Linked DNA regions of Nothobranchius furzeri. The protein of the gene in region 4 interacts with the protein of the main gene of each other region in a pairwise test. Links are inferred from orthologs where the notes say so. Each region holds a gene or a part of one and is shown on either strand. Other genes may lie near its edges. The genes, in order: rnf26, pstpip1a, xiap, ube2wb, amfra, rnf111 and marchf5l.

Evidence for each region.
Region 1: the proteins of ube2wb (region 4) and rnf26 interact in a two-hybrid assay, tested with the Homo sapiens proteins (2 studies listed by BioGRID and IntAct). The link is inferred for Nothobranchius furzeri from reciprocal best matches to the Homo sapiens genes UBE2W and RNF26.
Region 2: the proteins of ube2wb (region 4) and pstpip1a interact in binary tests that used the Homo sapiens proteins (3 or more experiments, as listed by UniProt). The two-hybrid records come from large-scale screens. The link is inferred for Nothobranchius furzeri from reciprocal best matches to the Homo sapiens genes UBE2W and PSTPIP1.
Region 3: the proteins of ube2wb (region 4) and xiap interact in a two-hybrid assay, tested with the Homo sapiens proteins (2 studies listed by BioGRID and IntAct). The link is inferred for Nothobranchius furzeri from reciprocal best matches to the Homo sapiens genes UBE2W and XIAP.
Region 5: the proteins of ube2wb (region 4) and amfra interact in a two-hybrid assay, tested with the Homo sapiens proteins (2 studies listed by BioGRID and IntAct). The link is inferred for Nothobranchius furzeri from reciprocal best matches to the Homo sapiens genes UBE2W and AMFR.
Region 6: the proteins of ube2wb (region 4) and rnf111 interact in a two-hybrid assay, tested with the Homo sapiens proteins (2 studies listed by BioGRID and IntAct). The link is inferred for Nothobranchius furzeri from reciprocal best matches to the Homo sapiens genes UBE2W and RNF111.
Region 7: the proteins of ube2wb (region 4) and marchf5l interact in binary tests that used the Homo sapiens proteins (3 or more experiments, as listed by UniProt). The link is inferred for Nothobranchius furzeri from reciprocal best matches to the Homo sapiens genes UBE2W and MARCHF5.

What each region holds. Positions count from the first base shown.
Region 1 is NC_091753.1:38,315,197-38,319,461, forward strand, and holds the start of rnf26 (E3 ubiquitin-protein ligase RNF26), read right to left. Parts: upstream 2,801-4,265; 5' UTR 1,686-2,800; coding exon 342-1,685; 3' UTR 1-341. UniProt on the Homo sapiens protein: E3 ubiquitin-protein ligase that plays a key role in endosome organization by retaining vesicles in the perinuclear cloud.
Region 2 is NC_091744.1:68,453,528-68,457,653, reverse strand, and holds the start of pstpip1a (proline-serine-threonine phosphatase-interacting protein 1a), read right to left. Parts: upstream 2,801-4,126; 5' UTR 2,690-2,800; coding exon 2,660-2,689; intron 2,000-2,659; coding exon 1,899-1,999; intron 1,826-1,898; coding exon 1,751-1,825; intron 1,636-1,750; coding exon 1,601-1,635; intron 1,503-1,600; coding exon 1,396-1,502; intron 1,295-1,395; coding exon 1,232-1,294; intron 942-1,231; coding exon 837-941; intron 1-836. Other genes in the region: rcn2 (reticulocalbin-2), read right to left, coding at 3,325-3,468. UniProt on the Homo sapiens protein: Involved in regulation of the actin cytoskeleton. May regulate WAS actin-bundling activity. Bridges the interaction between ABL1 and PTPN18 leading to ABL1 dephosphorylation.
Region 3 is NC_091741.1:25,549,248-25,553,406, reverse strand, and holds the start of xiap (E3 ubiquitin-protein ligase XIAP), read right to left. Parts: upstream 2,801-4,159; 5' UTR 2,642-2,800; intron 1,497-2,641; 5' UTR 1,447-1,496; coding exon 1,207-1,446; intron 1,121-1,206; coding exon 595-1,120; intron 493-594; coding exon 393-492; intron 304-392; coding exon 225-303; intron 1-224.
Region 4 is NC_091747.1:53,051,291-53,054,790, forward strand, and holds part of ube2wb (probable ubiquitin-conjugating enzyme E2 W-B), read right to left. Parts: intron 2,369-3,500; coding exon 2,266-2,368; intron 1-2,265. UniProt on the Homo sapiens protein: Accepts ubiquitin from the E1 complex and catalyzes its covalent attachment to other proteins.
Region 5 is NC_091749.1:54,393,156-54,397,339, forward strand, and holds the start of amfra (E3 ubiquitin-protein ligase AMFR), read left to right. Parts: upstream 1-1,384; 5' UTR 1,385-1,524; intron 1,525-1,989; 5' UTR 1,990-2,046; coding exon 2,047-2,304; intron 2,305-2,396; coding exon 2,397-2,489; intron 2,490-2,607; coding exon 2,608-2,772; intron 2,773-4,184. UniProt on the Homo sapiens protein: E3 ubiquitin-protein ligase that mediates the polyubiquitination of lysine and cysteine residues on target proteins, such as CD3D, CYP3A4, CFTR, INSIG1, SOAT2/ACAT2 and APOB for proteasomal degradation.
Region 6 is NC_091749.1:59,508,301-59,511,176, forward strand, and holds part of rnf111 (E3 ubiquitin-protein ligase Arkadia), read right to left. Parts: intron 1,945-2,876; coding exon 1,849-1,944; intron 1,587-1,848; coding exon 1,500-1,586; intron 1,066-1,499; coding exon 962-1,065; intron 1-961. UniProt on the Homo sapiens protein: E3 ubiquitin-protein ligase. Required for mesoderm patterning during embryonic development. Acts as an enhancer of the transcriptional responses of the SMAD2/SMAD3 effectors, which are activated downstream of BMP.
Region 7 is NC_091746.1:37,374,301-37,378,532, reverse strand, and holds the start of marchf5l (E3 ubiquitin-protein ligase MARCHF5), read right to left. Parts: upstream 2,801-4,232; 5' UTR 2,752-2,800; intron 2,422-2,751; coding exon of another isoform or gene 2,374-2,421; exon of another isoform or gene 2,238-2,373; intron 1-2,237. Other genes in the region: actr1b (actin related protein 1B), read left to right, coding at 2,374-2,421, 3,380-3,444, 3,648-3,723. UniProt on the Homo sapiens protein: Mitochondrial E3 ubiquitin-protein ligase that plays a crucial role in the control of mitochondrial morphology by acting as a positive regulator of mitochondrial fission and as an important regulator of immune response.

The DNA.
Region 1 (4,265 bases), on a different chromosome or scaffold from region 4:
TTTTGAGGGAAACTGTATTTTTTGTTCTTTAATTATCATCTGCAGCTCTCAAAAGCTTGGACCATTCAAAATAATTTTTTATAAAAGAAATTTGGTGTGTTTTTTATGTCAAAAGATTCTAAAGGTTAAACAAAACATTTTTTGAGTTTTGTCTGTATTCAGAAACCTATAGATTTGAAAAAAATTTATAAAAACTTCTGAGCATCCCTGAAACGTAAAACAACAGAGTGGCTTGACATGAGATTGACCAGAAGGCAAAAAAATAAAATAAAATAATAATAATAAAAAGGTTGTGGAGCTCTTGTTGTCTTCAGATGAATGGATCAGTTTATTTTGGTCCCTCACAGATAAACGTCCATAGTGTCGAGGATCATGTGACGACAGAGAGGACAGTTCTGTTGGTAGATCGGCTGCCTGAGGAGGATGTTTGTACAGTCTCTGCACAAGCAGAGGTGTCTGCAGGGCAGCAGCACCACCGTCTTAGTGCAGTCCTGACAGATCACGCACTTCTTCCTCTCCTCGTGCTCCTTCAGTAGAGTGAGCAGGTTTTCAGCTGGCAAGCTTTTACTGTCGCTGCCTGAAGACTCCTTAAGTGGCTCGTCTGAGCTTGATGATGGAAGAATTGAATCCTGCAGCTCTGGATAAGCTCTGTCTCCCGCTCTCCCATCTGGTGGACCCCGCCTCTCTTCTCCAGGGTCTCCATCACCTCCTGCTCTGTCTCCGTTGTCCCTGCGGAGTTGTGTCCACAGAACCAGACCCAGTCGGCTTCGGTTTTGAGACAGCCGCTGCCAAAATCTTCTCTCCAATAGAAAGAAATGGTGGAGCATCATCTGCAGGTGTCGGATGTTGTAGCGTAGATAATGTGAGGTTCTCTGCAGGGCTAAAGCGAGCCGTCTGTGAGTTAGATACAGTCTGCGCAGAAAAGCAAAAGAGTTCAGGTAATCCGCAATGCGCACAACTGCCTGATGGGTCAGTCTTGGGTTTAGGTAGGCGGTGGTCATCAGGGCGATGGTGATAGTGAGCAGGAGGCCATAGATGTTCAGTATGAAGATGCAGATGAACATATGCAAAAGGGAAAACAGAAAATCCAAAACCAGCTTGCAGGGAGACCACAGGAAAGCTGATGTACCAGCCAGGCAGCTGTACAAGAAGGTGAGGGTGGTCAGGGTCATTTCCAGAACCTTTTGCAGCGGGCTGGACACCGTCTGCCACACGCCCACCACTGACAGGTAAAAGTTCTGCATGGCAATGAGTGCAAAGTTCACCACAGTGTTGGTAAAATAGACCACCAGGCTGACAGCGATGCTACAGCCCTCCAGCACTGACAGCAAACCCCGATACAGGTGCTCCTTTCCTCGTAGCAGCACGTGCATGGACAGATAACCCACCATCTTCAGGCTCTCCAGCAGCCCTTCCAGGGCCAGCACCAGGCTTCCCAGCAGGGTGACTGTGCTGTGGGCCAGGTTTGATGCGGCCTCTGCTATGTGAACAATGGACAGTAGGATGAAGTTCCCCACCTGCAGCACGGAGTGGAGGAGGAGGGTGGGCAGGTTGGTAATTAAAGCCACAACCGCCAGGAGGGTCTGCACCACGGTGTGGACGAGGAGAAAGTTCAGGTCCAACAGTAAACACAGAGCATCCAGGCATTTCCCCACAGAGGTTACCACAAAGTTCACCAAACCCATGGTCCTTTAGCTTCAGCTGTTTATCTCTCGATGCTCCTCCCAGGTTGTACACAAGTTCATTGTTGATTTTCCGCCTGATATCCTCATACGTTACATCTTAAGCAGAACGTAAGTTCAGCAGCAGCTGGAAAACATCATTCGTTTCACGAAATACACTACATGTTCATGTTTGTTCAGTGTTTCGTCGGAACACATGCGTTTCAAAGTGAAGCGGATGTTTTGTTTCGAACGAGAGCAGACACTTCCGTTAGTTTTCCGTGTTTCGTTTTCGCTCTTTGCTAATAAAAGCCAGAAACACCTGGTTAGATAAATATTGTCAGTCTTAAAACACACAGTTAGCAAAATCGACGGATGGAATTAAGAAAAAAATGAAAAAGGGGTAAAATAACAATGTTTACTATCTTCGCTGAAGACGCCATATTTGTTTTGGTCACGTCAGTGAGCGGATATCTCGTTACTTCCTTCCGATGACTTTTCAAAATAATCCAAAACCGCTCAAAACATGAATGTAAAAATTGAAAAAAATAAGTGTGATTATGTATTTATTTACAACACATACTAAACCATTACACACAATATAAAAAATGCATACACAGGTTTCATGGATTTACTTGAACTTTAAAAAAACTTGCTAATGTGTCATCAAACTCAAAACCAGTTAAAGCTGCAGGGTCTGGCCTAGTAATGACTGCAGGCAAAGTTCACCGCCACATCATCACCACCTCAAGGCCTCCTCCGACTAGTTGTGCTAGCATGCAAATCAGAGGGGCCATATTTGATCATATGCCCTGAACATAATCTTTGTAAGGATGGTAACAATATTAACAATAACGGCAATTATAACACTGAATATATTTAACTGTTTTCTAACATTTCTAACAAAAACGGAGGACAAATCTCGCCATCAGTGATTATAATGAAGAGGAGGAAGATGTTTATTTAACTAGATCATGTTGTTTATTCTGTTTTTTTTTATTAGAACAGGGCGGCCAAATATGATCACTTTTCAGTTTTGAAATTTCTGTGATTTTCTGCATGAAAATATGTTTTTAAAAAGATGTATCAACAGATTAAAACGTTGGTTGTATACCACAATAACACATGGGGATTGAAATTTTAGATTTTAAACTAATCAAATGAATGCCATATAAAGAGATTATGGGATAATGGGAACGAATCTAATCAAAATACATGGATGTTGCTTTTCTGGGACTGCTGTTGAAGGTCCATCTGCTCCAGTGATGTCTGTCATCTCAGCACCAACTATCATCTTTTATGTCTCTAATGCATCAACTGAAAAAAGTTATTCAATATAGCTCCAGTTTGTGTGATGCTACTGTACACACTCTCCTAGCTACAAGTTCAATTTTATATTGACCTTGTGTGAGCGAGAAGGGAGAATAGTCGCCCTCCAGTGCAAATAGCTAGAACTAAACTAGTTAAATTACCGTAAATCCTCTAATACAGGCCCGGGCCTTTATTTGACTCAAGCTCATCAAGCTCCAGGCCTTTATTGGAAGGAGGGCCAGTATTAGAGGCAGGCCTCTATTTCTATTTGAGCAAAATGAACTAATGGTTCGCTGGAGTTTTTGACAATTAAAAGTGCACCCACATTTTCAAAGTTAAACACATTTCTTTTAACAACGGTAGTTTCTGCTTCAGTCCTCTCCCCCCTCCCCTTGCGCAGCAGCCGCAAACTCACTGATGCGCCTGCAGCCTCTCGGAGTTCCTGCTGCTCTAAACATTAAAATAATTATTTCATTTTCTGTTCCTCACTTCTGATTACCTTCAATGGTGTCTGTATGTTGCAACAGCAGGTACAAAAACTAACTTGTTTTTATTTGACTATTTTTCTGTCCTGTCTGTTTATTATCTTCCTGCATCTCCTCTCAATCCTAAAGAGAAACTGCTACCTGGGTTCATATATATTCACCTCATGAGTTACCTTTGAACTGCAGTTCTAAAAGATCTACCGACCGCAAAAACAGCGGAGCGCTCGCTGTTTGGCGGCCGTATAAGTGATCAGTGCATCGGAGGACAAGGTGATGCGCGCAGCGCCCCGCTCCACAGCAGCGAAACACATCAGGCGCAAATAAAAGACAGAAAGCATTAAAGGAAATGAACTGACATGAACGATCGCGTGTTAAATTAGTTTTTGAGGTGGCGACACCTGATTGTTACTGTGGCCGTGCTCAGGAGGCAGATCTACCGACCGCGAAAACAGCGGAGCGCTCCCTGCTTGCCGGGCGCATCAGTGATCTGTGTGTCGGAGGAGGTGTTGATGCGCCCCGCTCCACAGCAGCGAAACACATCAGGCGCAAATAAAAGACAGAAAACATTAAAGGAAATGAACCGACATGAACGATCGCGTGTCAGTACACGGTCTCCGCCCACCTCTAAACGTTTGACCCCGCCCACATTTAGCCCCGCCCCGATCTCCGGGATGCAGTCAGGGGTAGTTGTGTTGTGTGAGTGTTATGTAAGCCACAGGGAAGGTGATGTGTGTTCTGTGGAGGGGTTGAATTAGCATGGTTAACTGACACCGTGACTCTGTGTGGTAGGAGCGTGATAGAGGATCGT
Region 2 (4,126 bases), on a different chromosome or scaffold from region 4:
ATTGACGCATTCTAGAAGCGACACGCAGCAAAAATAGAACCCGAGCCCGTCTTTAGTGAAGCGGCGTGCCACTTCTGGGACATGCCTGGAAATTGCCGCGTCGCTGCTGGTTTGAAACATTCCTATAATGGATTCAATTTGAAGCAGTGACGTTCCGCTGCCGTTCCGCCCTGCTGATGCTTTCAGTGTGAAACCGGGATGAGGAGACATTTCAGCAGTTAGATTAAGATGATATAAAGTTTCACTTTTTTTAACCTAACGGACACTAGAGGGTGCTAAAAGCAAGCCAAAACGGCATACTACTCCTTTAAGGGCCACATTTGAGTAATTCAGAGAAATTTCCTGAATGAGGCCTTTAAAGGGCTGCGTCTATACTCTTAGAATCTGGGGTTACAATGTGTAACCATGTTATTTGTTGTTTGGTTTCTTTAAGTGTGTATGTATTTCTGCCCATTTTATTTCTTATTGTCATGATGTAGGAAGGTGAGGATCCAAATCCAGATGAATACGCTTCTGAGAGGCCACCAAGACAGCAGAAACTCTTTTATTTCAGAGTCAGGTCAGGAGTAATAGGGAAACAGGGAAGCACAAGATCAAATGATGGGGCAGGGGAGCAGATTCTGACACATCATACATAATTTGGCAAATCATTAACTGCTGCAAAGTTTGATGAATCAAACTGACTGGCTTTTTAGTTAATTTGACCCAAATTATTAACTATTTTATGTGCTAGAAAAAATGCTCAATTGATGCTAAAAATAAAGCAGCTAAAAAGTTTGAACGCTAGAGACATAATCCCCTTCATCTTGTAAAAGAAAATAAAGCAGCTTGTTTACCTTCTCGATCTGTTTGGGAGTCGCTGTGGGAGCGCTGCCCAGCCGTTCAGCCGTTTGCTCTGCCTCATCCGCCTCCTTGCAGCGTTGCTCATAAGATTTTTTTGACTGTTGATGCAGGAAACAGAGACCCAATGAAACTCTGACGCAAGAATCTATGTTCATTAGTAGTTCACTCTGAACCCTCAACAGGAAGCAGAGGTATTTAGTCAAAAAAGAAGACATGGTGCATGTTGCAAAAAAATATCACACACCTCCTTCCTCTCAACATAAACTGAAGTTTTTAAAAAGTAAAAAAAAAATGAGTCTATTTAATGTTCTTGTATGTGTAAGGTGTAAAAATCACAGGATCTGATTCTTAGATGTAGGATAGAACACCAATCACTAAGAGACCCTACCTCAATAGTTTTCTTGTAGAGAGAAACCTTCATCTTTTGAGCCTTCTCCATGCTGATTTCAAACTGGGTGACAAGACTTTTATGTTAGAAAGAAGAAATTCTTTACTTTGCGTTTCCTTGTTCTTTTACCCACAACAAAAATGGGAGGAGGGGGGAGTCGACACCTTTTTTCTCTGTTCTTTCTGTCTCTCTCTGAATTCCTCCATTCTCTTCACCTCGTCCTTTAGGAGACCAGAAAGCTGGATGTGCAAGTTCCCTACATTTTCCATTTCTGCAAAGAAAACAAAACATTATATATTAAAAAAAATTAAATACAAAAGCAGAACAGAACAGAGAAACAAGTCATGCTGGGTAATGTGGTATGATTACGTGTTTTCATGTCATCAAATGAAGTCCTCAAAGTGCTGCAGAAAGGAAGAAGAAAATAACTGCACACTCTACTTGATGCATAAACACATAACATAACATCAGACCATAAATTATGAGCATTTGGGCACGAATGAACCCTTTGGCACGCACCAAATCTCAACCAGACCACCAGCTTTTCGGGCGATTGAAACCAGTTCTTTTCCATATTTCTCCTCTGCTGAAGCTCTATGAAAACATCAACAAACACACACTTTTTAAATATTAGTTTCTAAATACAGACACAACTAACTCAACTTACCTCATTTTCAACAACTCCTCCGTGTCTTTACACGTCCGCCGACCATCATTGAGTCTCTGAATAATGGCCTCGTAACCATCACAGCTGATAAAGTCTTTTCCCTGCAGAAAAAGTGAGGTATATCTTTTTCTTTGCAGTTTAAAACACACAGTTAATGAATAATTTTAATAATAAACTCTGAAGGCGGTGATTATCAATCATTAGCTGGTGAGCATTATTCTTCTTTCCTCATGTAGGGAGCATGCCATATTTAGTAAAACAGAAACTGTTGCATTGTTGGAAAAAGCAGTGGCAGAGGTGTTAAAACTCCTCACATCTGTAAAACCGATGACTGTCTGAGAATCAAGAGCACAAAAATCTCAAAGAGTTGCCAGATTAACAGGAAATTATCTAAAAAAAGGACTTTATGTGAATATACACTCAAGGGTAGGATCGCAGCATGCTACACTATAAAAAAAGCTTTGTTACTTTTACCCATCTTTCTTCTAAAAATCAGACACGATCAAGTGATTAAGAACAGTAACAGTACAGATTAATGACTTTTCATGCAATAAAAGCTAACAGAAATCTCCAGAGGACGTCTAAAACATAAAGCCAGACTCAAAATGACTTGTGATCCAAAATGCTCATACAACAAAACAAAAAAGCATCAATAAATTTGACATCTAAGTGATGAGGTTCACAGTTCAGAAGAGATCATTGTTCCTTTTAGAACATAAAATATAATCTAAAAATGAATCAGCAAATTTCAGCCAACTCACCCAAAACGAGTCTTTAAATTGTAAAGCCATCTTGGTAGTGTTTGGTAACGTTTCCAGTTAGCGAGTCACGCTGTTGTGCCACTTGGCGGTCTGCTTCGATGCAACTGCAGCACATCAGGACACACTCAGGAAACAAACCCTCATGCAGCAACTCTCACTCGCAGTGTCATTTCATTTAAATCAGGAAGAGGTGACACAATCGAGCTCACAACAGCAACGACACTAACTCCGGCACCGAAATAGAATTAAAACTAACTTCACTTCATTTTTTAAAAACTGTTCAAGTAAACCCCAGTAAGGTGTGTTTTGATCAATTGTTTATTTGATAAATCATTAAAAGTTGTTAATGAGTTCCTCCTTATTTTACAAAGAGGATGATACAAAAACAGGGATTTCCGATCAAATGTGTCAATTCAACTGGAAAGAACAGCAGTTTGTACATTTTGTGTTGGTTGATTTGGAGGTGACTCATTTTAAAGCACTTTTGTTTGTAACATCACATTATTACATTATTAGGACACGTCATTTTTGTCACTTGTTACATAAAACATCTGCTGTAATATAAGTTTATGTTTCCACAGTTGCACAAAATACATAATCAGTCAAAAAAACTAAAATTTTGATTTAGTTAAAAACAGTGTTTCTATAAAAGATGAAAAACAAGGTTATAGTTCATCATGTGACACATGCAGCTGTCTGCCATAGTCCGTCACTTCACTGTTCATGAACATCTCTTGGTTTTTTAAAACTTCTGCCAGTGAAATCCGTTCGTCCCCATCAAGGTCCATTTCCTTTATGAGGTGAAGAGCCTGTTAATGACGAGTAAAGAAAACAGAAAAATTATTATATGGCAACTGATGCCTCCAAACAATAACTTGTAGTGGACAGCAGAGGGTTAGACAGAAATGTTACAAAAAGAATGCACCGTATAGACAGCCTAACTTTAGATGCATCATTTCTTCTTCCAGCTCTCCCACAGTTTAATTTACTGAAGTACAATAAAGACAGAATGTACTTTTGGTTGCTGTTTTTATGAGATAATGTGTAAGAACCTGTTTGGGCCAACATGTGTCACTTTGTTATTGTAGCAGATGTGTATAAAAGTAAAAAAAATGTTCCTTAATTCAGAAGATCAAACCGTTTTAGATCTAAATTATAGTTGTTAAGTCTGCTCTTAAAGCATCTGAGGCCTTTAGTACGCTGGAGCCACCATCAGTGATATGAAGAGACTGCAGCAGGTTGTACGCTCTGCTGAGAAGGTCATTGGCTGTAAACCCCTCTTCATACATGACCTGTACACCTCTAGGATATTGAGGCGAGCAGGTCGGATATCAGCTGACCCGTCTCACCCTGGACAGTCTTTTTGACTTGCTCCCATCTGACAGGAGGCTCCGAACCATTCGGACCAGAACCTCTCTCCACAAAAACAGTTTCATCCCCTCTGCGATCGGACTCGTAGAACTGCCC
Region 3 (4,159 bases), on a different chromosome or scaffold from region 4:
GACCTAAAGAGAAGTACATTTGGTTCCTTATGTTCCATAAAGTTCACTAAAACACACCAAATACAAGTAAAATGATTTAAAACACAATTCCAGCTGATTCAAACCTTTTCATTGTTTATTTTTTATAAATAAAGGGACTTGGGAATCAGATTGACAGGTAAAGTTACAAGCTATGGTTTGTCATATAATCACAATAGCAAGAAAAAAAGAAGGAGATTGCTTACAGCTCTACTTTGTTTGGGTCCATTTAGTTGGATGCTGTTGACAAATTCTACTCCTTTTTCTGCCAACAAGAAGCTGCATCTAATGGGGAAGAAAGTTACAGCAGCATAAATAAAAATGTCTCCATAATGAATTTTTATTGCCAAGAAAAGACAGATGTTTCCTCTAACCCTGGGTAGTATTTGGCGTGTTGTTCCCAGGGGTCTTCCCCAGGCTGCCAACCTTTCAAACTCCCACCACAACTGAAACACATCACCCTATCTCCCATTCCTGTAAGCACAAATCAGATGTGTCAAAACAAAATCAGAACAACGATATAACAGTGACTCATTTTTGTATGAGTTTTGTCCACAGATGACGATGGCGCTGTACCTAAGCTGTAGAAGCCCGCCGTGGCGAGACTCTTGTGGTCAACAGGGAGCTGGAGACCAGCAAAGCTGCCAAGTCTCCCCTCAAAACTCTCCATGGAGACCTGAGAACTGCTCTCCTGAAGCGGCACATTCCCCACATCATGCCCAAGTATGAAGAAGCAGTTTGGATAATGTTTGGAATGTTCACTCCAAGCATTGTCTTCTGGTTCCCAGTCACTCAGCTCGCCACCACAACAGAAACACCGCACTCGGTCAGCATTCATCAAATAAAAGAAACCAGCTTGTGCCAGGTCTCTGGGTCTCATAAGAGAATCAACGGGCCACGAGGAAAAGGTCTGAAGGCGGGCTTCCTCAGACGCCATCTGAGGGGCTTTAGGGTACATGGTGTCGTCAGTCACGGCTCCAGTTAACAAACGATACTCCATGTGTTCTGCAGCCTCGTTGTAGCCATTAGTGAGCGGGTTATGAAAGCTCGGGTTGAAACTGGTTCGGTGGCAGCATTTGAGAAACAAGCACGTTGGAGAAACCTGTACCAGGAAGAGAGATCATTATTTAAACCTCTAAAGCAGAACAAAAAGTCACAATCGTTCAACACTTTGAATCCATGATCTACCTCCTTGTGCCGCTCCACAGGCGTGTCATCGCTGGTCCAGTTCTCCACAGTCTTCTTGCAGCTGAAACAGCGGACGCGGTCTGCGTTGCCGGTGAAGTAGAAGCCTGCTCGTGCCAGTCGTTCAGCTGGAACTTGCTCAGCCAGGATGGAGCGGCGGAAGGAGTTCAGGCGATTGTTGAGCAATGAAAAATCCATAGCACCATCTGATTCCAGATGCTCATTTTCTTCATTATCACACATAATTGAACTAGGACCTTCCTGGATAGATACAGCTACTGAATGTATGAAGTCTGAGGAGAAAGACAAGCAGATTTGAAGGTTAGTCAAAAGTCCTAAATGTACTTGAATTAAAACAACAGGGAGCTGGTTTGAGCATCCAGGCTAAGCCTTTGGGAGAGGCAGCCAGGCTATAATCACATGCTGGTGCTGGATACTCTGTGTGAGGCATGGGAACAGGAAAGGCGGTGCAAAGGGCGTAACCTGATACAATCTACACTAAAGCAGCATTCCTAAATAGATTATACACAACAGTGACAAACACTGATAAAGTATTTGCTGTAATAAGGAGTCACAGTACATGCTGTACACGGGCTAATGACCCAAGATCAAAGCACGCCAGCTAAGAAAGCAGGATGGGGGGAATAGTTTTGCCACCTCTACACTGGCACATGGAAAATGTGTTCTCACAACCCAAATACTCAGAAAGCCCACTACATGGTGGAGGCTTAGTCCTAAAACTGTAACATCTAGTATGATTTTATCTGAGATGCTTTATTGATGAGGATCAGCTTTTGATCTTTGCACTGTTGTTGGCAATCTTTATAAAAAAAAAAAGTAGTCACCATGATCACGAGTGTGTCACAACTTAATGTGTGTTTAACCGTATGACAAACATGCACAATTTACGATACTGCACCATGGTGCCTCCTGGCATAATATAAAGCCACTTCTTTAAATGGCAAATATCTAAAACGAAATACAAATCTGCAGCCTTCTTTTTTAATTACAAATGCATCAATATTGATTTTAAAACTACAAATCCTTCCAAATAAATAAAATATATTTATTATAAATGAAGTTTGGTTTAACTCTGATCTATTCCAGTTCAAATGTCAGAACTGTAGAATCCTGGTAGCCCTTAATGTGGCTCAGTACACATGAAGTAGCTCTCTATGCTGGTGACCCTTGCTTAAACGTGGATGCTCGAGTTACCAAAAGCTAAAAACTAGCCTATATTATTCAAGGACACGCATTTCAATAAGCCTGCATTCTAAAAATAAACACATCAGCTGCTTTGATGTAGGTGCGTAATGTCGAGATAGTGACTTTGGGTTTTGACAGTTTGCTAAAGTGTCAGTTAGCTAGCTTCGTTAGCTTGTTTGCTAATTTGCGCAGTTGCCTAAATCGACCGTAGCCGGAAAACTACGGTATTTACCTTCACGCGCCCCTTTTGGTTCCGGTCTTCAGCTTGTAACTTTAGTCTGTCTTTAGTGTGAACTTGACCTGGAGCAGAATAGGATGATTAAAGAGCTCAGTTTGTTTTATAAAAACTATGAGGAAGCGAAAGCAAAGGGAGGAATCTGGGAACCTAGAACATTTGGCCCCGCCTCTTCAGTCACATGATCAAAGTACGCCCACGTGGGTGTTTCACAGAAACATGCCGTCTACTATCAACTGCCAACATACTTTAGGGTTGCCTAAATATGGTCAGTAACCAGCAAAAAGCGTTCATTTAAAATTTTAATGTAATCCCATCATGCACCTCAAACAATGTCTGAAGGTCATAATCTTATACCTACAATATTAGTGACCATTTTTAATCAGGATTGTTAGGACAGTGGCGGTCATCTCTTGTTTTGAGGGCCTCCATGTTTATCTGAGGTTTATCTGCTCTCTCACCTGATTGTATCAGCAAGTAATTGAAAGGTTACAGAGCTGCTGAAGAGGTGATTCAACCGATGGACCTGGTGTTGGAGCAGAGAAACTCAAGGCACAGGGTAGGGACTGATAATACAACCTGCATCTGTCACCAACAGAAATAAATGCCAGTGAAAGCTAATGGGATACATAAAATAACTATACTCTTTAACAGTCATATATCAACCTGAGATAATTTTCCATATTGGTGATTATGCATGTCAACTTTTTGATTCAAACTAAAAGTTGCCGTAGTAGTCAAATAAAACACGAGCATTGGTCTGCCCCATGCATTTCCAGTAAATCGTTAGGGATTTTTTTAGGGGGTGGGGGTTCACAGGTATTCTTATAATTTAGAATGGAGAAGATACATTTTCTATCTCTGTTATGTTATGATCATCTTCACAGATACATATTTTCTAAGAAAACATAAACAGCATAGTTTGAATGTGCCTCATCAAGTTTAGCTTAGCTGTAACTTTACTCAGAAACTACCTGTGGTATAACAATAACTTCATAAACGATCACTTGGTATTCTAAAACCCACTCCAGTCAGGTTTTTGTTGAATCATCATTATTATGATGTTAGGTATGATCAGTCCACTTTTTCCGACAGGTGTGAACCAGCTGATTTTAGAGTTGGTTTGCATACGGCTGCTTTGAAAAGGGGTAATCTGTGTGAAAATGGCATGTTTTGTCTTTAGGTTTGGACCTTACAGGTCAGAGTTGTGTGGAAAGAACATTTTTCATTGTCAGGCATGCCAACATCTAATGCTTAAATTCAGAACGCCTGTTGCTCAAAAACTAGCCCAAAGACAATAAATCATGCTTGATTGGAAAGGGTTACTCAAGTTCTGCACTTATGCCTTTTTCATTTGAGTTCTAAATTGGATTATAATAATATAATAATATAATAGGATTGTTTAGAAGATTATTTTCCTTATTGTTTATGCTTGTTAGTGGTTTTAAAGAGGTTCTTAAAACATAGATAATGTTAACATTGGTGGTGCTGAAACTTAAACCATGTGTGCTTAAC
Region 4 (3,500 bases):
GGTAGACACAAAAGTTTTTCCACTTAAGTTTAGAAAAGTGGTCCTCTGGGCTTTAGTGCCCCCGCTGCAGAACTCTTAACAGATAGGTGCCAATATCGGATCATCTAGTGATGCTGAATTCAAACATTACTGTCAAAACATCATAAAAGAAAACTGAAGCTAAGACAGTGTAAGAAATGAGTGACCCTTTCAACTAGGCTGGATAAGGCTTCAGAGAGTGCAGAATGCAGCGGCTAGATTCCTGACAAACACCTCTTGACGCTGTCACATTTCACCTGTCCTTGCACGCTTGCACTAGCTGCCGGTTAAATATCGTATCCAGTTTAAGGTCTTAACCTTAGTTTACAACATCCTGAATGGTCAAGCCTCTGCTCATCTGTCAGAACTGCTCATGCCTCATGTTCCACCCAGAACCCTGAGATCAGCAGATCATTTACTTTTGTACATCCCAAAAATGAAGTATAAATCTCGTGGGGAGCGGGCCTTTGTGTTCGCTGCTCCTAAACTTTGGAATGCTCTCACCCTTAGTGTTCGACAGGCCCCAGAACTGGGTTGATTCAAGTCTGTACTGAAGGACTACTTCTACTATTTAGCTTTTGATCAATGACCAAGCTTTTATTGTTATAGAATCTTCCCTGTTGAAATGTGCTAACCTTTTAGCATTGTTTTTATTGTGACTTTGTTTTTACTCTAGTATGTTTCTTTTACATTTTTAGGTTATCCCTTTTATCTCTTTTATGATATTTATCTTGTTTTTATCTTGGGGTTTTCCTTTTACTACTACTGTACAGCACTTTGGTCAGCTGTCATGCTGTTTTTAAATGTGCTTTATAAATAAACTTGGTATGGTATGGTATGGATAAAGATCCACAAACGTGGATCTACAACAGCTTTTCTTTGAGCCTCTATTGGCGCTTACACATTAGCGTAGGTACGGGCCCATAAGGTACCGAACGGCACCGGAATTTGGTTTCACACACCGGTCCGATTAGCGTTTTCAGTGCCGAGGCGACTTTTTCCCAGACCTTCTCCCCAGCGGTCAGACTGGGACCGAGGCGACACTACGGACTGACTGGCCGGCTGAAATTACGCCTACCGCCTCCGATCTGCGAGAAGAATCAGCCAGCCGGGGGTTCCTGCATGTGCGGTTCATTTTCATGCTGGATGCTGTTGAGTTAACTTCTGTCTGTTGCACGGAGCTGCCGATCCGGAGCTGCTATTAAGTGTGGGAGCGGGAGAAAAGAATAGCTTTGTTTGAGTGTGTGTGTGTGCATGCATGCTCCCATTCTCCGCATCGGAGCTCTTGCCCCTCGCAAGCAGACAGCTGCTCAGGGGAGAAATCAGGGGGTGGGCGGCACAAGATTATGAGGGGACACAGAGTAAATTAATAAAATAATGTGGTTCAGAGTCTCCAAAAGCAACACAGCTCATGTCCGCCTTTTGGTACCTTATGGAACGGACTTTCCCGCGCGTATTAAGCGCCCCCCACAGGCTTGGGGATTTCCGCATCTTGAGAAGTTCCTCGGATTAATATGTAAACACTACACCGACCATACCAGCCCAAACTCACGCCATCCTGCCCGACCAAACCCCGACCGTTACGACGCTAGTGTGCAAGCGCCATATAAAGCACATGACACTTTGTTGGGGTCCACAATGCCCTAGGAGCTCTGATAATGAATATTAAATGAGCTGCATGCTGATTGGCTGGTTTAATGGCTCAATGACACTGCTCAAGCTAGAATCTCTGTACAGCAGTGTACAATATCCATATTATTCAATAGAAAGCTACAGATCTATCTGGCATTCATTATAAGTTTGGATATACCCTGTACATCCTGGAACGTTACATGTGTTTTCCCTTTGTTTATAAGAACATTAGCAGTAGCTCGGGCTAGCATTTTTCTGCAGTTAGCATTACTGAGATCAAAGTTTATTCATTGCGGATGTTGAAGTGGGTTGGAGCATGCTAATGTAGGGAGGTGCGTCTATGCTTATGACGCGTTAAACCAGTTTTTGTCAGGATGAACCGTTTCTCCGTGACCATTACAACTTTACTAATTTACAAGTTGCAGACTTTTTGGTACGCTACATAGACATCTCAAGTTGCCTCTATTCAACAACAAGGTAAAAGTGGTTGTTGAATTGTAGGACCCATTTAAATATGCGAACACACACACACACACACACACACACACACACACACACACACACACACACACACACACACACACACACACACACACACACACCCTTTGCTCTTACCTGAGGTGAATCAAAAGGATATCGACTACTAAATTTGAATAGCAGCTGAAATTTCTCTCCTTCATAGAGTGTACCGGGCGCTCCCTCCATATCTACAATCCACCTAAAAACAAAAAAGGACAATGATGACTAAAACATTCCCCCGGTGCCCCAATAAAGAACACAGGTTACCCAAATGTTTACTGTCGAATATAAACGTTACAGGGGTGGTAATCATATTTTCTGAACCATTGGTATTGAAGCTGCTTTACCAAATCAGCACAGCAAGTTGGCCATTCCATATAAACACAGTCAAAAGACTCTCATACCTCCGTCGGCTAGGCCACGCCCCCCAATACGGGAATGCGCATTGCCAGAGTAAATGGGAGAGCACAAATCAACAATCACATTTTTCTATGCCTAAACATCTTTGGTGTCTGTGACTTCAAATGGTGTTTTTTCTTTTTGGGACTCTGGTAGTTTGTCCTTAAGTTGAAGTGGTAGCAGCTGGCTGTTTCTCCTTATCTGATATTAATATTATATGTGCTTGGTCTCGTCTTGGTAACAAAGGCATTTTTACTTGGCCTTTAAAAATGGGACCCAATGCTTGACACAGCTTTAAAGGGTTGGATTGGGGGGTTAAACTACGAAATAGTTCCCGAGCGCAGCCGTGTCTGCAGCACACCGCGCCTCCCCACACAAGTGTGTGTGACAACTAGGGCTGCACGATATTAGGAAAACCGGCTATATTCGATAACAATGATTAAATTGCGATAACAATATTACTTGCAATAAATAAAAACTTATCTCATGAACAAAAATAATCAAAAACAAAGAAGAAAAAAAAAAACGAGAAAAGCAAAAGATGTGAGGAAAGGGAAAAAGATAATGAACAAGAAAAGGTAATCAGTGGATCCCAGGAAAAGCAGAATCAGCAAAAAGAGCAGAACAAAGCTAACTCATGTGTTTGCTAACCATCAAAATTAAGTACTGTCCGCCTCAGGGGCGGGCATCTAATCTATGAGAACCCACCCTTTTGGCCAAATGGGTGAAGAGCTCTATTTGATTTGTTAAAAAAAACATCAGGCTTCCATTTGATTGACAGAATGCATTATGTGTAGCAAACATTTGAGCTGATCATTCATTGCGATATTTATCTGTTCTTTGTGATATGCATATTGTGCAAGCTGATATCGCGATAACAATATATTTACGATATATTGTGCAGCCCTAGTGACAACTATGGGACTTTAATC
Region 5 (4,184 bases), on a different chromosome or scaffold from region 4:
CCCATCAAGACTCACTCTCATTTCATCAGTCCATAAAACTTAGAACAATCAGTCTGGAGATATTTCTTGGCCCAGTCTTGACGTTTCAGCTTGTGTGTCTTGTTCAGTGGTGGTCGTCTTTCAGCCTTTCTTACCTTGGCCATGTCTCTGAGTTTCGCACACCTTGTGCTTTTGGGCACTCCAGTGATGTTGCAGCTCTGAAATATGGCCAAACTGGTGGCAAGTGTCATCTTGGCAGCTGCACGCTTGACTTTTCTCAGTTCACGGGCAGTTATTTTGCGCCTTGGTTTGTCCACACGCTTCTTGCGACCCTGTTGACTATTTAGAATGAAACGCTTGATTGTTCGATGATCACGCTTCAGAAGCATTGCAATTTTAAGACTGCTGCATCCCTCTGCAAGATATCTCACCATTTTTTACTTTTCTGAGCCTGCCAAGTCCTTCTTTTGACCCATTTTGCCAAAGGAAAGGAAGTAGCCTAATAATTACGCACACCTGATATAGGGTGTTGATATCATTAGACCACACCCCTTCTCATTACAGAGATGCACATCACCTAATATGCTAAATTGGTATTAGGCTTTCGGGCCTATACAGCTTGGAGTAAGACAACATGCATGAAGAGGATGATGTGGACAAAATACTCATTTGCCTAATAATTCAGCACTCCCTGTAAATTCGCGTCTGTGCTGCTATAATGTCATGAACTAGAACCTCTGAGGAATATTTCCACCTTGATGAACCTATGGCAAGAAGAATAAAGGCCCTTCGAAGGCAAAATAGAGACCAACCTGGTACAAGCAAGGCGCTTCTATAAAATGGGCAGTGGGTTTGTATTAGTTCAAGTCAGTTGTTTTTAATCACCTCCATGATACAGTTTCAGCATAGACAGAAGTGAAATATATTTCTCCACATATCATTTTGCTTGAATTAAAAATTAAAATAGCAATGAAATTAATAAAAATTCAATAACAGCAAGCATGGATTAGCCTAGAAGTCTAGACAGAGTGTAGCCGAAGCAAAACGATGTTGCACTGCATCTCTGCATATATATTCACATAAATAGGGCTTGCCAGGAAACTTTTTTGATTTTGCAGAAATGCAGAGTCTCAACATTAGTTTTTTCCTTTTAAACCAGCTGACATAAAAAAAAACTTAATGCAAAATAAATGATTAACCATAAACTGTCTTAAACACTAAGTGAAGATTCCGTACCTATTTCAATTTTCCTCGAGAAAAAAACCACAGCAGTTAAAACATTACGATATGTTGCAAATTGTAGCGGTGAATGAATGAATGAATGAATGAATGAATGACGGAGCTGGTAAGGTCGGGTTATTTTCCATTACTGTGACTTTAAATTTGTCCCGATGACGTCATATCTCGGCTAGTTGCCTGCTAACTGTCGGTGAGATAAACAACAACAATGTTGACGACTGCTGTGTTTTTCGTGTAGAACCCGTAAAGTCCAGCCCAGCTCAGAGCACACCACCCTGGATCTCGTGTTTACCTTTGTGGCTATCTGTAAGTGGCAACCCAACACAGGCCTATTAGGAGTTTATCAACAACGCGTAAGTACGTAGCTAACGTCAGCTAGCTTGAAAGCTAGCATTAGGCAACACTAGGGAAATAACTTAACACTTTTGGGCGTGAAATACTATTGTTTATTTTTTATTCTCCTTTGATACTGTTTGCAATTTCAGCCACCCAGTTATACATTTTATTACATTATTTTTAATTAAGCTGCGGTTTTACTTCACTAGCAATGGGATTGTCGATCCTCATCTGGAGGTTAGCCTAGCCATTTTCTCATTTTAGCCTTTCTTTTAGTTTTAAAAAGGTAAAGATAGTATAACACCCTCGAAATGGCCGCTTGTTGCATGTGTTTATCCCTAATTAAGTAACTGCGATCGCCAGCACAAGGGTGATTATATAGTGCTCACACCTTGCTCATTAAAGTTTGGCTAACCTTTGCTAACTCCCTCCCAGGCAGGTGGTGGAGTGACATAGTTTTTACAAGTCAGGAAGTGGACCGCAAGCACTGCAATGCCTCTGCTGTTTATGGAGAGGTTTCCATGGCCCAGCTTGCAGACCTACACAGCCCTGAGTGTGGCTTTGCTGGCTGGAAGCATCTTCAGTGCCTACACTACTGTCACTGACCCGGGCTTTGGGGCCTTGGAGACCGAGGATACACCAGCTCCATCCGAATTTAACCTTGAACATCATCTAAGTAGTGCAGTTAGCAACACAGACTTGGCAAGAACTGTCCTGTGGTATCTTGTTACTGACAGTCTCTTTGTATGGGTGAGCATCCTTCCCATTACGAGTTTTCACAGGTGATATAATATTCCTCATGCAATAAACTAATAATCATGCCACTCTCCACATTCTTGCAGGTCTTGGTCAACACATTCTGCTGTTCTTTAATGTTAATTGCTAAAATGATCCAGTATGTGGTGTTTGGGCCACTCAGAGTCATTGAAAAGCAGGTGAATCTGTTTGTTTTGCTCAAATATCTGGAATAAATATATTTTCTAAAATGTACAACTTACTTAGTGCTTATTGTCAGAAAAAAGCATCTTATTTTGCTTTTTATTTTTCTCCCAGCATCTCAAGGATAAATTCTGGAATTTCATCTTTTACAAGTTCATTTTCATATTTGGAGTATTGAACGTGCAAACTGTGGAGGAGGTGGTCATGTGGTGCTTGTGGTTCTCTGCCCTCGTTTTTCTACATCTCATGGTACAGCTCTGCAAAGATCGTTTTGAATATGTAAGTATGTTTTATCACACCATCTCTTTTCACTGCATCCACCTCCCCATACATGTTTCAGGGTCATCAAGGGCTGAATTATACAGGTTTGCAAGTTATTAGCTCCAATTGAGAATTAAGTAAAACTGGTTAATTTGAGAATACCAACATTTTGGTTGCATGGGACTGCATTGTTTTTGTATGTTTCAGTGGTTTTCAATCATTTACACACCACCACATGCAGCTTGTTATCACTTTAAATGTATAGAAAATTAAAAATCAAAAATCTAAATGTGTTTTTAAATATTTTCTAGCAGAAGGAGTTCAGTCTATTCAATAAAATACCTAAATACCGCAATTTAAAACCTTCTCCTTTGTTTTGCACACAGGATATGTCTTGTTTCATTAAGATTTAAATTGTAAAAAAGTAAAAATACATGATTTTTGAGTAAATCCAACTAACAAACCTCTTTGCACCCTGAAAGTCCTTCAGAAGTCTGAGTGCAGATGTACTTATTCCAGCTCCAGCTCTATAAATAGCTCCATATTCTGACATGTTTGCCTGCTGGTAGAGTTTCAGTTGCTACATTAACACTCTCCTGTCTCACAAGATGAGAAAAACAAAATATCAAATTGAATTACCATCATGCAAGCTGTGACATTTAAGAAAAACTCCTAAACATAATGTAGCTATAATGTAACAGTGACTAGTTATTTTTTTCTACCTGTTTTGTGTAAATATTTTATATTACACACACTTTCTCTTCATATAAAACAATGAGATGGTCTTTGTCTTTATAAACTCAAGCACGTCGGTTATGTTCAACCCAGCTGTTTTCCTGTTTCCATCCGTCTGCAGGTTTGTGCCTTTGGGGGTATATGGCACATTCAGCAGCTCTAGATAAAAGATTTGGCGTGTGTTTTGGGTAATTTGGTGAGATTGTGTGGTACATATGACACCCATGTCATGTCTTGTAGCTCAGCTGTTGTAATTATCATAAGTAGTTCCTAAATAATTTATTTTGTGGGCTGTACATGATATTAGGGGAAACCTTTGAAGGATTATTATTATATTTGAGTTTTTGGATCGTATGCATGTCGTACAACTTGCTTTTCTTACTTTTAGCAACTGAACCACCTTTAGTTTTCTCCTGTTTTTAATAGGACAGTTAACTGCTTTGAACCTAGAGTTGAAAGTTGTCCCCAACTCTGTGGAAAAAAACATTGTTTTTTCTTGTACAGTTGAACACCAGAGGTGTTCAGAAGGGTGTGCAGACTTTCCCCCACATGTGCTGTTTACACACATATGTCACAGTGGGAGGTTTTCTGCTGGAGGGATGCGTTTACAGCATGAAGCACGAAGGAGGAGGTGCAGCAAAGTGTCATTTGTCAGGAGTGCAAAGGACATTGGTGTATGTCACCCTGGAATGTTT
Region 6 (2,876 bases), on a different chromosome or scaffold from region 4:
TATACTTTTTTTCACGACTGCTTGTGGGTTTTTATCACAATTTCCACAACTCCCTCTTTAGAAAGTGCCTTTTAGGAATATTTAAATTAGGGATGCACACTATATCGGCATCAATATCGGTATCGGCCGATGTTAGGTATTTTTTAACAGATCTGTATCGGTCCGATAAATAAAACCGGGCTGATATTAACCAATATTTTTCCATCTTGTCTCCATTTGTTTGTATGTTTCAGAGGGTGAGGGGGTGGTGTGTATTTGTTCAGTCATGTGACAGTGACTGTAATCATCTAAGAAGCATAAATGTGTGTAAGGTGAGTACATAATAATGTAAATTCAGCTTTAATGATTTTATTTCTATACAAAATCTGCTGATTTTAGAAGCATTATTGTCAGTATATCGGTATCGGCAAACATCAGTTATCAGACATAACAGTGATATTAATATTGATGCATTACTAATTTAAATAACATCTTTTCACTACATCCCCTTTTGTTTCCTTCCTATAAATCATCTTTGGATCTTTGTTACCAAAAAATAAATTCTTAAGTTTGTTTTGAACAAAAACTGCCTAAATGGTCATTTATATTACAGATAAAGTATCACTTCTATTAAAGCATGAACATAAAACAGCTTTTACACTTGCAAGGTGACCCTTTGAGCCAACAGGGGGCAGAATTTGTTTTCATAAACCTGAGTGAGTGCCAGCTCCATGAGGAAGGTAATTTTGAGCCACTCTGGGATTTTCTGCTGATTACGAGAACTCCTTCGGGTTTATTTATTATCCTTTTCATAAGAAAAAAGATAAAAATTCCCATAAGATGTTAGCAAAGTGGAACGGCTGCATCTGCCATCCCACTTGTGCTCGGAGGCTCAGAGACACGCCCCCTTTAGAGCATCATTTAACACGCTAAAGCCTGTGAGCCAGGATCAGGGCGAACGCCCGGGAGGGGAGGCATTTACCTGACGTCCTCCCCCTCCTCCAGTATCGACAGACAGATGGTGCATTTTTCTTCCGTGTCTTCATCCGCCCCCTCGTCTTCGTCCTGCTTCCCGTGCAGCTTCCTCTGTTTTGGAGAAACATTTAAAAACACGACTTGTGATGTGCGGCGCTGATCAACAGAGCAGCTTCAGCAGAGCCGTTCCAGACGGTCAGTAATCTCATCAATTCATGTCAGCTACTCAGGTAAACAATTAGAATTAAAAGTATGACAGATTTAAAAATAAATCACATTATCCCCAAAAGAAGTAACTATGTTTACAACAAACACTTCAACAAAACAAACTTAAAATTTGGGAACAGAGAGAATGGTCGTTTTGTCGTGAAATAAAAATCATAAAAATAAAAAAATATAAACTTGCTTTTGTCATCTAAACAAATCAAAGTCATTTAAGTCATACACACAAGCCGAATTTCCCAGCCCCCAGAAATAACACTAACATCTAACGTACATGAGCAGAGACATGTGTCCAAATTGATTTGTTTGGGTTTTTTTCTCACCGATTCTGGGGTTGCGTGCATATTTTTCCCAATAGGAGCCCAAGCTTCAGGGGTTAACTGTTGGTCAATGTCTCTCTCCAACACCTTCTGTATTGGGTGGCAGGGTGTTAGATTGATTGCTTAGATACATTTGAAAACCTCGAAGGAAACCCCCTCCCCCAACAATTTTCTACACAGCTGCAGCCTCTGGTAAAAAAAAAAACACTAAAGGATTTCTCTAACATTAGATGTTCTAAAGGAGCACAAAAGACCAGTGAGCGCTCTGTCCCAGAATAAGCTGCAACAGACATGCACAACTACATCCAACATGTTCAACAATCTAGACGTGCAGACGCTGATCAGTGCTTACCTTTTTGTACTTGTGTGGGTAGGTGCACCTCTCTATGGTTCCCTGAGAGGCTCCTCGGTTCACAGTCCCCAGTCTTTCTTCTAAATGCAGCAGGTCCTGATGGAAACCACACACAAAAACGTGCACACTGTTACTCTACACCTGCAGACTTTTACCAACTCAAGGGGAGCTATTAATTTAATAACGTCAATCAGTTATACTAGAATTATCACAGGCCAACAATTGCTGCAAGTTATGCATAACTAATAATCATTTGTATGCTTTTGCCTCTAGTAAGGTGAGTTTGTACTTTTAGCACCAAAACATTGTAAATGTAGAAAATATCACATTAAAGGTGTGGGACACCTTTCAAATCAATACATTTGCAGTGATCTATAGTGGGAATCTATGCCTGGATATTGGGGGGGGGGGGGGGGTCTCAGATGCGCTTGTTGCAGCAACTAGACGAATGCCACATAAGAGGAGAGCTTAACACGACAGGATCTGGAGTCTTATTTGCTGATATTTGGACATCTCACCTCTGATTGGCTAACAGAAACATGGCTCTACCACTGACTATTTTGCTCTGCAACGCCGATGTTTTATCTCCACAAACAACACAAGCCTGGTGGAGTTCTGCCGTGTGGTTGAGTTGCTAATGCTAATGGCTAGCTTCTACTAGCTGAGATGTTCTCTGCTGTTTCATGGACGCTAAACCAACAACAGCATTCCCCGTCTTGAGTCAAGATGGGTGAGTCCATGAATGTTAAGTGACAGTTTGACATATCTGTCAGGATTTTCAAATCCCAGAGTTTCACCATCTATTTTCATATCAGAAGCTGATACGGGACATTGGTGTAGGAGACTATTTTCATGGTCAGCTAGCATGAAAAACTCAGAGACACTGATTATAATCAGAAATAATTATTAAATAATGTTTTTTTTCAGTGGACCACACCTTCAAATATATATTCAAAAGTCTAAATAACACTTTTCTGTGACGTGTTATGATAAAGTAGCTTATTTATTGGTCTTATACTTACAAAAAA
Region 7 (4,232 bases), on a different chromosome or scaffold from region 4:
CGCCTCAGGAGAGGAAGGCAGCAACTCGCTCACACTGTTTACAGTGGGGATGGGGAGCTGCTGACGTCAACTGAGGCTATAGTCGGACGGTGGAAGGAATACTTTGAGGAGCTCCTCAATCCCACCAATGCGCATTCCGAGGAGGAACCAGAGCTGGGAGGCCTGGGGATGGACTGTCCGATCTTGGGGGCAGAAGTTGCTGAGGTAGTCAAACAACTACACAGCGGCGGAGCCCCGGGGGCGGATGAGGTTCGTCCTGGGTATCTCAAGGCTATGGATGTTGTAGGGCTGTCATGGTTGACACGTCTCTACAACATTGCGTGGTCATCGGGGGCAGTTCCTAGGGAGTGGCAGACCGGGGTGGTGGTCCCCATCTTTAAGAAGGGTGACCTGAGGGTGTGTTCCAACTATAGGGGGATCACACTCCTCAGCCTCCCTGGAAAGGTCTACGCCAAGGTACTGGAGAGGAGGGTCAGATCGATAGTTGAATCTCAGATAGAGGAGGAGCAATGTGGTTTTCGTCCTGGCCGTGGAACTGTGGACCAGCTCTATACCCTTGCAAGGGTGATGGAGGGGGCATGGGAGTTTGCCCAACCAATCCACATGTGCTTTGTGGATTTGGAGAAGGCTTATGACCGTGTCCCCAGGGGCACCCTGTGGGGGACGCTCCAGGAGTATGGGGTGGGTGGCTTTCTGTTAAGGGCCATTCAGTCCCTTTACCAGAGGAGCGTGAGTTTGGTCCGCATAGCCGGTAGTAAGTCGGACCTGTTCCCAGTGAGGGTTGGACTCCGCCAGGGCTGCCCTTTGTCACCGGTTCTGTTCATCACTTTTATGGACAGAATTTCTAGACGCAGCCGTGGTGTAGAGTGTGTCGAGTTTGGTGGCAGGAGAATCTCGTCTCTGCTTTTTGCGGATGATGTGGTCCTCCTAGCTTCATCCAGCTCTGACCTTCAGCTCTTGCTGGGTAGGTTCGCGGCCGAATGTGAAGCGGCTGGGATGAGGATCAGCACCTCCAAATCTGAGACCATGGTTCTCGACCGGAAAAGGGTGGCTTGCCACCTCCGGGTCGGGGGAGAGGTCCTACCTCAAGTGGAGGAGTTTAAGTATCTCGGGGTCTTGTTCACGAGTGAGGGTAGGAGGGATCGGGAGATCGACAGGCGGATTGGTTCGGCGTCTGCAGTGATGCGGACGCTGAGCCGATCTGTCGTGGGGAAGAGGGAGCTGAGCCAGAAAGCCAGGCTCTCGATTTACCGGTCGATCTACGTCCCAATCCTCACCTATGGTCATGAGCTTTGGGTAATGACCGAAAGAACGAGATCGCGGATACAAGCGGCTGAAATGAGTTTCCTCCGTAGAGTGGCCGGGCTCAGCCTTAGAGATAGGGTGAGGAGCTCGGACATTCGGGAGGGACTCGGAGTAGAACCGCTGCTCCTCCGGATCGAAAGGAGCCAGTTGAGGTGGTTTGGGCATCTGGTCAGGATGCCTCCTGGACGCCTCCCCGGGGAGGTGTTTCGGGCATGTCCTGCCGGCAGAAGGCCCCCGGGTCGACCCAGGACACGTTGGAGAGGTTACATCTCCAATCTGGTCCTGGAACGCCTTGGGGTCCTGCCAGAGGAGCTGGTGGACAAGGCCGGGGAGAGGACGGCCTGGAGCTCCCTAATTGGGATGCTGCCCCCGCGACCCGGACCCGGATAAGCAGAGGAAGACGACGACGACGACGATCAATTTCAGTGTCACGTTCTGCTTGTTGGATCAAATAAATGAAGTTTTAAGAAGCTTTATTTCTGGAATTTATTTATTTTCATTGTCATTAAATTGAAGTTGGACAGATGACTTGAATATGACTTGAAAATTCAAGTTAAGGACTTAGACTTGACATGGACTTCCACATCACTGACTTTATCTATCTATCTATCTATCTATCTATCTATCTATCTATCTATCTATCTATCTATCTATCTATCTATCTATCTATCTATCTATCTATCTATCTATAGAATAACTTTGTGAAACTGTGGTCTTTACTGTACATACATTAGCAGTAAACAGAGCACGGATTCCTTAAATTTGTTCCAATTGACAAAGCTCTCACGTGGCACACTCAGACATTATGATTGGTTACGTTACCCGTCAGTGAAAAGTAATCTTCAATTCCATTGACCGTTGTACTTGTCAATCAAGTAAGACGCAATGATTGTTGTGGTTGTTTTGGAAAGAGGGCGGTGCCGAGCCAGCAGCACACAGACAGCGCGGCGGCGTCGACACCTCACAGTGCTCGGTGACAGGGCGTTATCTTTTACATGATTAAAACACTAAGCGGAGAGGGAGAAGCTTGCAGATCAATAGAAAGACGTTTTAAATACTCTGTTCGTAATGGAGTCCTATGACATTTTAGCTAACCAGCCGGTTGTGATTGATAATGTAAGTATGATGATGTCATTCACCCACACCCAAACCGAGGCCGCTAGCTGCTATCCGTTAGCTTGGCTATTGTGTTCCTGGTGATAGCCTGCATTGTGCTCGGCCAAGTGCATTGCCCCTACAGCATGTGCATTAAGAATTTCCATTATTGTCCTAGAAATATAACTAGTACAAGTAGTGCACGGTAATGTACCCAAAGCGAGCGAGAGCTAAAGCTAATGGGTTGAATCGTTAGCTGTCTGTCGCTATCATCAGAATCATTCGTGGGGTTCACCTCCACGAAAATACAGAAGTATTCATCGTGCAGCACGAAGGGAATAAATAACTCACCTCTTGTTTGTTTTGTTGCATCTCTTAGTTTGTACCTGAAACTCGGAGGGTTCTTTCGAAATTCTCAGTGTTGACAAAGCCCTAAATGTCCTGTCGAGCAGTTCCTTGATGTCTGCAAATATAGAATTGTGCTTTGGTTCCGTTTTGTACAGCTGACCGTTTTCAGTAATCCATGCTGATCAGAATTCAGAACCTATATCATTGTTATCATTTAGGGTGGCAGAACAATAGTTTAACTTCGTGTTGAACATCATTTTATTAATGCTTTCATATCTAAGTGCAATTCTCTTGTTTTTAATGTAGCAGGGTTCAGGAAGTATGTAGTGTTTCCACACTGTTACCACGTTGCTGGACAAACTTTTAGTCCTTGTCAAGTCTAGTGTTGGAGAAACCGATCTGCTTTATTTCACTTCAGATTGGTTTAGCTTCTTGAGGTTAAAGCTGGACTGGTCAATAACAACAGCAACAGAAAATACAGTAAATGGTAAGATCAGAGGCTTGTGAATCCAGTGTTGCAGCAGGCTGAGTGTGTGTCTACTGTAGCTTCAGGCTGAGTCTCATGGCTTTCTGAAGCATAATGCTCAGTTCATGAAGATGTGCTCTAATGTCGCTTCTGTTTACTCTGCAGGGTTCGGGAGTCATCAAGGCTGGTTTTGCAGGTGACCAGATCCCAAAATACTGCTTTCCTAACTAGTAAGCATCCTTAAACAGCCTCCAGCACATCTCCTCCTCCCAGATCTTTAATGGGAACATATGCTATATTAGATAACACCTTTTATTTGGGAAACCTGCAACATATAGCATTTATTAAGTGACTCCATCAAAAGAATTTATTTAAAATATGGGTTTGTGTTGTTTTTGTTGTAACTTTTGATTGTTTGAATATTTGTGTTCAGTGTGGGACGTCCTAAACATGTGCGTGTGATGGCTGGGGCGCTGGAGGGAGATCTTTTCATCGGACCTAAAGCAGAGGTAGAGGTTTTGGCCGGCTAGCTGCTCAGCTCACAAAACATTAACAGCTGTAGCTCCTGGCAAAAGTGGGTGCTACTACTGGAGAGGGTTCATTCAGTTATGTAAAACTAAATCTAGAGCTGGTTACTTCACATGCTGCATCACACTTATTATGGTTAATACCAGCACGTCACTTTGTCGACTCTCACCCCTTCACTTCACATGCAGATAATCATGTTATATGATCCCCATGCCCCTCTACACACACTTACTCATTTTCTAAACGTTTTATTTAGCTTTCTGTTATGTCTCTTTTAATTAACACTTCTGCATCCATCATCTTTTCTCTATATATTCTAAATGTGTTAACTTTCTTAATTTAAATTTTGCTTTTACTTGTTTGAATGTTGCAGTCTACGGGGCGGTTCAGGGTTAAATTTCATTGCAGGTTGTACTTGATGCTGGAACTTTAGTTTGACAAAGCTCCAGTGAAGGACGCATGAGAGGAAAACTTGCTGATTTTTAAAATC